2 linked regions of the Cricetulus griseus genome follow. The protein of the gene in region 2 binds, or shares a complex with, the protein of the main gene of each other region. Links are inferred from orthologs where the notes say so. Each region holds a gene or a part of one and is shown on either strand. Other genes may lie near its edges.

Evidence for each region. Proteins that work in one complex are often made in the same cells at the same time.
Region 1: the proteins of Flna (region 2) and Itgb3 are in contact, whole or in part, in an NMR structure (PDB 2MTP), measured with the Homo sapiens proteins. The link is inferred for Cricetulus griseus from reciprocal best matches to the Homo sapiens genes FLNA and ITGB3. Residues at the interface, in NP_001104026.1 of Homo sapiens: Gly2236, Arg2264, Ala2268, Gly2269, Gly2270, Leu2271, Ala2272, Ile2273, Ala2274, Val2275, Glu2276, Gly2277, Pro2278, Ser2279, Lys2280, Ala2281, Ile2283, Phe2285, Asp2287, Gly2291; in NP_000203.2 of Homo sapiens: Lys742, Ile745, Thr746, Pro771, Leu772, Tyr773, Lys774, Glu775, Ala776, Thr777, Ser778, Thr779, Ile783, Tyr785, Arg786, Gly787, Thr788.

What each region holds. Positions count from the first base shown.
Region 1 is NC_048600.1:117,664,690-117,670,843, forward strand, and holds part of Itgb3 (integrin beta-3), read left to right. Parts: intron 1-1,855; coding exon 1,856-2,018; intron 2,019-2,621; coding exon 2,622-2,783; intron 2,784-4,995; coding exon 4,996-5,091; intron 5,092-5,644; coding exon 5,645-5,734; intron 5,735-6,154. UniProt on the Homo sapiens protein: Integrin alpha-V/beta-3 (ITGAV:ITGB3) is a receptor for cytotactin, fibronectin, laminin, matrix metalloproteinase-2, osteopontin, osteomodulin, prothrombin, thrombospondin, vitronectin and von Willebrand factor.
Region 2 is NC_048604.1:1,479,801-1,485,954, forward strand, and holds part of Flna (filamin-A), read left to right. Parts: intron 1-243; coding exon 244-433; intron 434-591; coding exon 592-615; intron 616-2,816; coding exon 2,817-3,064; intron 3,065-3,173; coding exon 3,174-3,269; intron 3,270-3,427; coding exon 3,428-3,530; intron 3,531-3,617; coding exon 3,618-3,758; intron 3,759-4,045; coding exon 4,046-4,174; intron 4,175-4,361; coding exon 4,362-4,535; intron 4,536-4,633; coding exon 4,634-4,795; intron 4,796-4,989; coding exon 4,990-5,193; intron 5,194-5,272; coding exon 5,273-5,425; intron 5,426-5,530; coding exon 5,531-5,653; intron 5,654-5,741; coding exon 5,742-6,008; intron 6,009-6,154. UniProt on the Homo sapiens protein: Promotes orthogonal branching of actin filaments and links actin filaments to membrane glycoproteins. Anchors various transmembrane proteins to the actin cytoskeleton and serves as a scaffold for a wide range of cytoplasmic signaling proteins.

The DNA of each region.
Region 1 (6,154 bases), on a different chromosome or scaffold from region 2:
CCCAACAGGGTTTCTCTGTGTGGCCCTGGCTGTCCTGGAACTCAATCTCTAGATCAGAATGGCCTCGAACTCAGAGATCTGGCTGCCTCTGCCTCCCAAGTGCTGGGGTCAAAGGCGTGAGCCACTACTTCCTGGCCAGCTGATGCTCCTAACCACTCAACCATCTCTCCAGCCTTCACACTTTTTTCTTTGAGACAGAGATTTTTGCTATGTAGCCTAGACTGACCTCAGCCTCCCGAGTGCTGTATTACAGGCCTGAGCCAACCCACCTTAGCTGTGGGGCTGGAGGAGCTCTAGGAATTGAGCTTAGAGTCTCAGGTTTGCTAAGCAGGCTTCCTACCACTGAACAGCATCTCCAGCCCTGTGCCTGTTTAGCTGCTGTGTTAGTCACTTTTCTTGCTGTTGTGAGCAGATACTTGTTAGAGGTAACTTAAGGGTGAAGGTTTATTTTGGTTCATGGCTCAGAGAATGTAATCCATCATGACAGGTAAGGCATGAAGTCTGAAGTGGCTTGGTCTGTGGTGGTGGGAACCTGTGGCAGCCACTTGCTATATGCCGCTAGGCCTGGAAGCGGAGCTGGTGTGGAACAATACAAACAAAACAAGCCCTGCCCATATAGCCCTATTTATGCCAGCTAGGCTCTATGTTACAAAGATTCTACAACCTCCCTGAAACTGTGCCACCGCCTGGGGACCAAGTATTCAAAAACACCGACGACTCTGTGGTGCCCATCTTGTATTCAAACCATAGCAGCTTACTATCGAATGGCTAACTTGACGAAGACTGCAAATCTATGTATGGTAGTGATTTAAAATTATGATCACTGGGCTGTGGAGATGGCCCAGTGGTTAGGAATACTTCCTGCTCCTCCAGAGGACCAGGCAAAGTCCAGTTTCCAGTACCCAAGTCGGGCAGCTCTTAACCCAAGCCTAGGGGATCCCCCAGCTCTAGGGGATCTCATGTTGTCTTCTGGCCTCCATGGGCGCCTGCACAACTCATTCTCTCTGTCTCTGTCTCTTCTCTCTCCCGCTTCCCTCCCATAATATCACTCCCTCTCTATGTAATTAAAAATAAAGTATATTAAAATCATGATTGCTGGATTGACAAGGCATGGGTTTACTTTAAAAATATTACAGTACAGTTTTTAAATTTCTGACTGGGCTATATGTTTTCCTAGAAAACATATCTGGGGACAGCATGATCTATAAATTTACTGGACATTTGCTTTATTGTTGCAGTAAAAAAAATGTGTTAATGATTCCAGTCATGATTGCATGAGCCTTCGTCTTGTATAATTGCTTTAGTTGGTCTTGAGATAGCTCTCTGAGATAAGCACTATACGCCTCCATATATAAGCCTACCACTTAAGTACACTGACAGCCCCTTGTCTTTGTTTGGCTTGTGTATTAATTGTTTTTCGTGTGGCTGTGACCAAATGCGTGATGGAATGCAGGTTTAGAGAGGCCGTCAGAGAGTCCGTGCTTGGTAAATGGGGAGTTGGGGTTTAATCTGTCCTGTCTGGTTTTATCACTGCCTTACTTGCCCTTCCGGCTATCTGGAGGTACAGATGTGGTGCCACAGGTAGTCTGAAGGACTTGGAGTCTAGACTGTCTGAGTAATTGTGATTCTCTGGGACTGGAGTGTAACTGTGTGGTAGAGCATTTATCTGGTATGCATGGGGTTTTGGGCTCAATTCTCAGTGCTGAAAAAAGGAGAAGAACCAATATGATTCTCCCCGATCTGGGCACACTACTGTCAGTATCTGTCCCTTTGTCTTTATCTGACCCTGGTACCACCTTTCCACCACAGCTTTTCTTAAGATGACCTCTCTTCTCCCCCTCTCCCCACCCCCCAGTATCAAGACTACATGTTTGCCGATGTTTGGCTACAAACACGTGCTGACGCTAACTGACCAGGTGACCCGCTTCAATGAGGAAGTGAGGAAACAGAGTGTGTCACGTAACCGAGATGCCCCCGAGGGCGGCTTTGACGCCATCATGCAGGCTACAGTCTGTGATGTGAGTTTGGAGGGCAAGGGGTGCCAGGTGTAGCTGGCATAAATCAAAATGGGGGAGGAAACAGTTTGGTTGGGGATTTCCGGTGTGTTGGAGGATGGGAACCAAGCAGGACTTTGTACAATATGAGTAATAATTTTTCCTGCTGTGTAGTCTCTCTCTATAGCCTCACCGAGGCCACAGCTGACACCTCTTTGAACCACAGTAGCCCCAGATCTTTCCTAGGGAGAGCATTGGCTCACATGTTCTGGAATTATTTCAGAGTCAAGCCTGCGTTAACTTGACCTCAGCAAAGTGAGCAGATGTTTGGGTGGGATTTCTTCTAATCCAGGCCAGCTGTGTGGATGCAGAGGGTTTCTGTCACTGGAGGAGTTATGTGTAGAGTTAAGAAGGTGGGATTCAGACTCATGCACTAATCAACAATGGGGTGATTTTTTCCCTAAGGGAACAAAGCCTGAATTAGAAAGCTCTTGTTTATGTTCAAGGCTTGGGGCTGAGGTCCGTCTCCAATACAGCTTGTCCAGCTCTTGAGGAATGGAGGTTCTGCAGTCTTTGTTCAGTGCGGATGACATAGCTGAAGTCTCTGTGTCTTTTTTTTCAAAACAGGAAAAAATTGGCTGGAGGAATGATGCATCCCATTTGCTGGTGTTTACCACTGATGCCAAGACCCACATTGCACTGGATGGAAGGCTGGCAGGCATTGTCCTGCCCAACGATGGACAGTGTCACATTGGCAGTGACAACCATTACTCTGCCTCTACTACCATGGTGAGATGCCTGGTCCCACTGTGGTCCTTGTTCACTCTGATAGGGCTGTTTTATTCCAGGCAAGGCTTTTGTGTGAATTTGAAAACAGACTTACTTCTGGGCATTATATGGGGCTCAGTTAGTGCCTGTTTCTGCCACATCCCAATAGGGCACCCTCACCCAGGGCGTCACACTGACTCCGCAGTCGTCAGCACCAGCAACAGCATCTTGCCATCCAAAATGTGGGAAGGCACAGCTAGAAAACTCTCTTCCCTCCTTCCTCTGTGGATGGGTCCCTTCTTGGAATCAAGCTCATTTGTGGTTACTGGGGAAAGACAAGGGGGAGAAAAGGACAAAGGTAAAACCCAGAGAGCAGAGCCTCTTGAGGAAAGGTTAAAGGGCACAGAGTCATTCGGTTTGAAAGAAAGATGTTTGTGGATAATTTAGGATGATAGGTAAGAAAACTTATGAAAAGTTATTTCATGTGTTTTATTTAACCATAGACAGTTAACTAAATAAGAAGAAAGGAGCTTAAATTGAAATAGGAATTACTGTCAACCATGAGGCAAATGTAGCTAAGTTTAAAATAATAACACTTAGGGTATTTGGAGAAAGTCTTGACTTTTTTTTTTTACCTGTCTTGTCCCCCTACCCCCCTTCATTTTCTTGAGTCAGGGCTTTGCCATGCAGTCCAGGTTAACTTGTAATTCTTAGTCCTCTGCCATCACCTTCACATCAGTGGGGTTACAGTAATTTGACAATATACCTGATTTTAATTAATTGATTAAATGATAAAGGGCCTTGTTCTATATATAGCCCAGGCTGGTTTTCTCCTTGCAGTCCTCTGCCTCAACCTTCTGAGTATTGGGATTAGAAGCTTATACCACCATGCCTGTTTTTTTTTTTTTTTCCCTTAGTCTGGAAATTGAATTCAACGTCTCATAGTATATTAGATAATTGCTCATCCACCAGGCCATCCCCAGCCTACTGTTTATTTTTAAATAAGAAACAAAACCTTATTTATTATTAAAACATACTCCTTATTTTCTCTAGTCAATAGAGGAACCATTTTGTGGCTTAAAAGTGATTCAAGGGAGGAGACTGAGCTAGAGAACTCATGAGCTCCCTTGCAAGGTCTATGAGCCCATGGACATATTGGTTCATACTGTTTCCTGGTCTCTTCAAGTCCTTGGTATTAGCCATATACAAGCTGAGCACTATCGGACTCTGATACTAGTCTATACAAGGCACTGATCAGGAGCTGCGAGAGATGAAAAAGCTATAAGGACCTACTCCTACAAGTTTTTTTGTTTAGATGAAGAGAGAGGATATATTCCAGCACATTTATCAATAGCAGCGAATGCATGCTGAATGCTAAGTGTGTTATACAGTCAAGGGCTATTGGCAGCCGGAAGAGGAAAGCTCCTTAGGAGCTGGGGTGGTCAAGGAAGGCCTCTTGGAGGAGGTGAGCTTTGGCTAAGGAAGGAGGAGGATTGCCAAGATGAAGGTCACTCGCAGGAGGAGTGAGCTAGAGCAGTGCCTGGTAGAAGAGGAGTAGGGGTGAGTGATGGTTGTTGGTCACGTGTTGGTTGATCAGTAGAGCGAGGCTAGGACATTTGCCCACAGCTCTGCAACGGTGGGCCTTAACTCATGGAGCTGGTTTGAATCTGAGTGGGAAGGAAGGTGCTTGGCTTTGGAACACCACCAGCTTAGGGTTCTTTGCTAAGCTTGCACTGCATTGCCCTTCTCACTCATATAGCAACTTTCATTTCATATCCACTTTCTGTTGCTAACAGTAAGCCAGAAAAGAACTTCAGTTTTGTTCTTAGAACTTGCGAGTTTGAGAGACCACATCTGGTGGTCATCTTGCTGGCTGAGTCCCAAGACTCAGGCCGGCATGAAGCAGAGGTCAGGGAGTGTGTGTATGGGTTTCTGTTTTCATTGTTCTCCTCTCATGACACTAGTGGGATTCAACTCTGGGGGCTTTGCTGTAATGACCTCTAACCATACTTCCCGAATACTCTACTCCCCAGTACTGTTGGGGGGCGGGGCTTGTCTTCATCCCCCCCCCACCCAAGCATCTCACAGTGTGAATTCAATTTCATCACATGAAACCCAAGGGACACACTGGAGCCATGTCCAAACCACAACACCTCACTTTGATTAGTGCATAAATGTTTTAAGTTTCACATTTCCTTGGCGATATCCCCATGAACCTTTCCCTCTTTTCCAGGATTACCCGTCTCTGGGGCTGATGACTGAGAAACTATCCCAGAATAACATTAACCTGATCTTCGCAGTCACTGCAGACGTGGCCAACCTCTACCAGGTAACTATGCCTCTGGGGCTTCCGTCCTGTTGCCACAGATGGACCTGTCCCAGGTGGCCATGGACCCAACCAGGAAAAAAATCCTTTTAAAACTCATTCTCTGGGTACTTAACATAACTCCCTATAGCCTTTTTCCTTCAGCCTCTAACCTGCTAGGAAGAGGGTGTAGATGTTTGAGATGATGGTGAGGAGATAAATCAGTTGGGGGAGGGGAGTAAAAAGGTTTCTTACTTTTCCCTCAGATATGAAAATCTGATAGATCTGTTCTGGTAGTGACAAGTGAGGCATCCCACAGTGTCCTCACAACTTCACTTTAAGACTGTCAGTCTGGCAGTGGTGGCACACGCCTTTAATTAAAGCACTTGAGAGGCAGAGGCAGGCAGATCTCTGAGTTTGAGGCCAGCCTGGCCTACAGAGTGAATTCCAGGACGGCCAGGGCTACACAGAGAAGCCCTGTCTTGATGCCCCCCACCCCCCAAAAGACTGACTAGGGGGACTTTGAGGAGACCACTTTCCTTGAGCAAGCTGTGGACATCTTTGTCTTCCTTTCTAGAATTATAGTGAGCTCATTCCGGGGACCACAGTGGGAATCCTGTCTGTTGACTCAAGCAATGTCCTCCAGCTCATTGTTGATGCTTATGGGGTAAGAATATTGGCCTGGGAGGGCTGGTCGAGTCTGCTGGATGTGGCTCATTGAGCAGAGGGTGTTAAAAAGAAGTAAAAGTGGGATGCAGTGGTCCCTCTACAATGGGAGCCTGACATGTAAATTCCCCCCAGGATTGAAATTTCTTAAAATGAATGGGCCTCAAGGCCATGCTTGGGCCTGGAGGTGGAAGGGAGGCATTAGATGGAAACAATATAATAGGGAGGTCTAAACATAATAGGGCCTTAAAGGGGACAAGAGGTGTCCCTTTAAAGCCTGAAGAGGAGCTTTATTAAGAGTGAGAGCGAAGCTGGGCAGTGGTGGAGCACTCCTTTAGTCCCAGCACTCGGGAGGCAGAGGCAGGGGGATCTCTGTGAGTTTGAGACCAGCCTGGTCTACAAGAGCTAGTTCCAGGACAGC
Region 2 (6,154 bases):
AATGTTACAACATTGAGATCTTTCATGGAAGCTCCTAGTGCTGAGGCTGGGCACCAAGCTACTCTTTTGTCATGTCACAGAATACTGTATGTTTGGGAGGTTTCCATTCTGGACTCTGCTATATGCAGGCAGCCTCAGGGGCCATGGGGATAGAGGGTCCAGAAACTATCCCTGTTATAGCAGTATTGGGGGTTTCTATAGAAGGCTGGCTTGGACCGACCTCCCCTGTGCTTTGCTACACAGGACCCTGAAGGCAAGCCCAAGAAAACACACATCCAAGACAACCATGATGGCACATACACAGTGGCTTATGTGCCAGATGTGACAGGCCGGTATACAATCCTCATCAAATATGGTGGTGATGAGATCCCCTTCTCCCCATACCGTGTCCGGGCTGTGCCCACTGGAGATGCCAGCAAGTGCACAGTCACAGGTGAGCCAGCCCACTATCGGCCCCCGTGGCACTAGGCACGGGACTTGGGTGTGCCTGTGTGCAAGGGCTCGCTGCTTGGGGCAGCGTGTGGGAGTGGGGGCCGCCCCCTTGAGTGACTCACCTGACCTTTCTCCTTGCTCTCTGCCCTCTCACCTCAGTGTCAATCGGAGGTCACGGGCTAGGTAAGCTGCTTGCTGGGGCCACTCCCAATGCCCCTTCTGCCCAGAGAGGCAGTTTCCTTTCCTCTTCATTGCTAATTCATTCCCAGGACAGTTCCAGCTGCAGCTCTAGGCAAGGACAGAGTGGGGGAGGCTGTGCAGACAAGGCCATGGGCTGGAGGGTCAGGGCCCAGGGAGGTTTCTAGAGCTAAGCATGAGTGCTCTGGTTCTCCCCTCTCTGGGCCTCCACTTCCCCATCTGAGAACTCGGGTTGCAGCTGAGAGCTTTGGGGTGAAGTGTATCCTAGGAGGCACCCCACTGGGACTTTGGGGGTCTGGGGATCTTGGCACCTCTGGGGATGGGCAACAGGTGCTTCCTTCTCACAAGGGCTCCTGTGTGGGCTCAGGGAACAAGGTGGTTTCCTCCACCCAGTGGGAGTCTTCTAGCCCTCATCAGATCCACAGACTTCCATCCCTGCCTCCCAGGGGCATCTGCGTCCTGGGCTGAGGGAGGTGCATGAGTGGGTGGGGCTGGCTGGTGGTGCAGTGTCAACTGCTTGGGTGGCCAGCATGGTGGGGCCTGGCCCAGCCTCAGAACCCCAAAGTGCATTCCTGCGACCCATCTCCTTTCCTTCTCTTCTATTCCCTCAGCAGTGACGTTAGTTAAGACAGTCCCTATTAGACAGGTTTGTCTGCCCCAAGACAGAGACACCCCAGGGATACTGATAAGACTACAATTATTTACAGGCTTCTGAAGGCTGTAGGCCTGGAACTTGGGTAGGTGGCCAAGGACAGGATTATATGATAGCTAGGTTTTTGTGGCAGAGGCTAGATTGCTTTGTAGAACAGCACATGGAATTGGAGATGACATATATGTACACAGGGCAGGAGCGGGGAGAATAGGCTAGGGGCTTGGAGTGGCCTCAATTTTTCTGACCATTATGTGTGGAATGGAGGCAGGCAGCCCAGTAAGGGAACTTAAATCACCTTTGGGCAAGCCAAAAGGTTGGCTTGTGCCAGGTCAGTAGCCATTGGGACATTAAGCAGTAAATAGCCTGATTAACCAGTATACTTCAAGGATGCTATGGTTAAGACCTGCTGATAACCTAGAGTCTGTATACAGAAATGAGGAATTAAGTAGCTGTCAGGAGAGGGCCCAAGTCATTAGCTAGATGATACAAGGCAGGCATGCAGGAAACTTATAGGGCAACATGGGTATCAGGCAGCCAGGACTATAACTAAAGATGCTGAATCTCATGTTGCCAGTGTGAGACTAAGGTCAATAGGGGGACTTGGTGGCAGGCTGGTAAAAGGGGCAGTCCTTAAACTTGGTCCTCAAGTAGGTTTGGTGCTCCTAGCTGCTTTCCTTGTGGGAGGCTGGGCTGCAGGGGTGCTCTTGCTGCCAGGCCTTACAACCCACAGCTCCCAAGCCTCTACAGCTGAGCCCCAGATCATAACGTCACCGTCGTTTCCCTTTCCTCGGGCACTATGGGGCCCTAGAGGCTACTTAGATGCTTTACCCTTGCAACCCTGTGTGGTGGCTTGGGTCTTCTATCCTCTGTTCCTTGAGTACTGTCACTGCTTTGCCAAGCCTGCTGTGATGTATTGCATGGGTGCTAACTGCTGCCTCCCTGCTGCTTGCTCTTGTCTATGCCAGGCTGTGCTGGGCTGCTTCTCACTACAAGCTTCTGGTTGAGCAAGCGTTCTCAGTCGTCAGGAAACTCCAGTTTCACCTTCAGGCCTCGGGGGTGGATAGGGAGGAAAGTGTCACATTCCCCACACTGCAGTAGGACTCCGCCTCACTGCGTCCACACATTATAGTACTGGGTCTCAGGGCCAGGCCACAGGGGCGCAGGTAGCCATGGGCCTAGCCAGAGTGCTGGTTTTTGTCAGCATAGGCCATGGTACCAGGTGAGGCAGAGTTGGCAAAGGAGGTGGCAGTAAATGCTTGTGCTGGGATGGGATGGTCCCTTACTTTTCCTCCCAGGTACCTCAGTGCCACCTGTTGGGCCTCTCTCATAAAGAGGCTTGAGGTGGTCAGGAGAATCCTTCCTGCCTTCTGAGAAACCACTCACCATCCTGGCTTGGGGTATGGGTTGGGCTAGGGGTACGGGCTGGCTGTGCTTGACTGTAGCAATAAGAGACCTGAATGGGTGGCAGGCTGAGTAGCTCAAATGCTAGGCTCACCTGCTGGCTCCCCTCTGGGGATCCACTCTGCCCTCCCAGGTGCTGGTATTGGCCCCACCATCCAGATTGGGGAGGAGACAGTGATTACTGTGGATACGAAAGCAGCAGGCAAAGGCAAGGTGACTTGCACTGTGTGCACACCTGATGGCTCAGAGGTAGATGTGGACGTGGTGGAGAATGAGGATGGCACCTTTGACATCTTCTACACAGCTCCCCAGCCGGGCAAATATGTCATCTGTGTGCGCTTCGGTGGCGAGCATGTGCCCAACAGTCCCTTCCAAGTTACAGTGAGAAGGGGCCAAGGACGGGTGGGCAGGGAGATCTGGGAAAGTCCTAGTCTGTCCTTCCAGGCCCCTCTATGGCAAAAGTCTCCAGCTCTCCCACTTTGCCCTGCAGGCTTTGGCTGGGGACCAACCCACAGTGCAGACCCCACTACGAACTCAGCAGCTGGCTCCACAGTATACCTATCCTCAGGGTAGCCAGCAAACCTGGGTAAGGCCTAGCCTGGTCTATTGTTTAATTTTCCTGACCCATAGGGACACTTGGAGCTGGCCATCTTGGTGTCTCATGTGACCCTGTTCTACCATATGTGCAGAGAAACCTCAGATCTTCTTGTAGTTCCTCACCTGGTTTTTCTTTCTCCACCACAGGTTTCAGAGAGGCCCATGGTGGGTGTTAATGGGCTGGATGTGACCACCCTGAGGCCCTTTGATCTTGTCATTCCCTTTACCATCAAGAAGGGAGAGATCACCGGTGAGTGAGGGCTGGGAAGGAACTTGGAAACCAGTGATGCTAGGTGTGCCAATTACCTGTCCTGACCTCAAAACCATTATTCTGTAGGGGAAGTTCGAATGCCCTCAGGCAAGGTGGCTCAGCCTTCCATCACTGACAATAAGGATGGTACTGTTACTGTGCGCTACTCACCCAGTGAAGCTGGCCTGCATGAAATGGACATCCGCTATGACAATATGCACATCCCAGGTGGGCTCACTGCCTTTTTCTCACCCCATCATTGTCCCCTATTGCTACCATCTCAGAAAGAACAGGCTGGAATGGGGTTATAGGTCAGTTGGTAAATTGATTGCCTAGCATGCATGAGGTATATGCCTATAATCCTGGAGGAACAGGAATTCAAGGTCATCCTCAGCTTCATAGTGAGTTCAAAGCCATTCAGAGATACATGAGACCCTTTTTCAAAAAACTAAAACAAAAGACTAGTGCGTGAATGGGGCTGGTGGTATTCCATGTGGCTTCTATTCCTGCCTCAGGAAGTCCTCTGCAGTTCTATGTGGATTATGTTAACTGTGGCCACGTCACTGCCTATGGTCCTGGCCTTAGCCATGGAGTGGTCAACAAACCCGCCACCTTCACTGTCAACACCAAGGATGCAGGAGAGGGTAAGGAGAAGCTCTAGCCCAAGTTGTCCTCCCTTGGCTGAGGGCTGGTATGGGAGATGATCCTGAATGGAGTTCTTTACCTCGTCTTCCTGACTCTGCTGAGCCATCAAGTCAACTCATCCACCAAGGCCCAGCAATGCTTCCCTGGGCACAGTTCCCACCCACTCTTACCTGTGATGCTTTTCAGGAGGCTTGTCTTTGGCCATCGAGGGTCCATCTAAAGCAGAAATCAGCTGCACTGACAACCAAGATGGAACATGCAGTGTTTCTTATCTGCCTGTGTTGCCTGGTGACTATAGCATCCTGGTCAAGTACAATGACCAGCACATCCCAGGCAGCCCCTTCACTGCAAGAGTCACAGGTGGGGAGCATCAGGAATAATGACAAGAACAGATGGCAGGGTGGGCACAGTCTTTTGTGGCTGGATCCATAGTGACTAATGGCTTACACTCTTACCAGGTGACGATTCCATGCGTATGTCCCACCTAAAGGTGGGTTCTGCTGCTGATATTCCCATCAATATCTCAGAAACAGACCTTAGTCTACTCACAGCCACTGTGGTGCCACCCTCAGGCCGGGAGGAGCCCTGTTTGCTGAAGCGGTTGCGCAATGGCCACGTGGGTAAGAGGTTAAAAGTTGGCAAGCATTTCTGGGAAGGAGGGAGAGCCAGGTGTGGGAAGGTGGAGGCAGGAGAAATCAGGGGAATCAGTCATTGGCTACATAGTAAGTTAAAGCCATCATTGCCTTTGGGGTGGGGGAAGGAGGGAGGCTATGGGTTCACACACACACTGTTGATGGCTCTACCCTGTGCCCAGGGATTTCCTTCGTGCCCAAGGAGACAGGGGAACATCTGGTACATGTGAAGAAGAATGGCCAGCATGTAGCAAGCAGTCCCATCCCAGTAGTGATCAGCCAGTCAGAGATTGGTGATGCCAGTCGTGTGAGGGTCTCTGGACAAGGTCTTCGTGAAGGTCATACCTTTGAACCTGCAGAGTTTATTATTGACACCAGAGATGCAGGTAGGCAGTGGTGGCCTGCCAGCTGGGGCAATATAGCTTCACTTGGCATTCTGGCTTATAGCTGCTATCTATCCCCCAGGTTATGGTGGGCTCAGTCTGTCCATTGAGGGTCCTAGCAAGGTAGACATCAACACAGAGGACCTGGAGGATGGTACATGCAGGGTCACTTACTGTCCCACAGAGCCTGGAAACTACATCATAAACATTAAGTTTGCTGACCAGCATGTGCCTGGTGAGTATGGCAGCCACACCCCTGTGATTTGGCAGCCTTCCTGGACACACTTCAGTGTCCACCTGTAACCTGTGCAGGGTATGGACTTTCCTTTTTTTCCTACAGGCAGTCCCTTCTCTGTGAAGGTGATGGGTGAGGGCCGGGTGAAAGAAAGTATCACACGCAGGCGACGTGCCCCTTCAGTGGCCAATGTTGGCAGTCATTGTGACCTCAGCCTGAAGATTCCTGGTAGGGAAAAGACCAGAAGGGTTCCTAGGGTAACCCTAAGCACAAGTAGAGACAGGGCTTTGCTCAGCAAGCTATCTTCTACTTGTAGAAATTAGTATCCAAGATATGACAGCCCAGGTGACCAGCCCATCAGGCAAGACCCACGAGGCAGAGATCGTAGAAGGAGAGAACCATACTTACTGTATCCGATTTGTGCCTGCTGAGATGGGAATGCATACAGTCAGCGTCAAGTACAAGGGCCAACATGTGCCTGGGAGCCCATTCCAGTTCACTGTGGGGCCTCTTGGGGAAGGGGGTGCCCATAAGGTTCGTGCTGGAGGCCCTGGCCTAGAGAGGGCTGAAGCTGGAGTGCCAGGTAGGTGTGCTTGTCTAATTCTTGCTATCCTGGGTAGGCCTAGATGGGTGTTTAGAGGAGGTAGCTAGCAGTTATGTTGATCTTGGCTTTGTTTGGAGTTGTCTGGGGGTGGGGAACCAGTTCTCTGCTCCATGAGCACACACTGC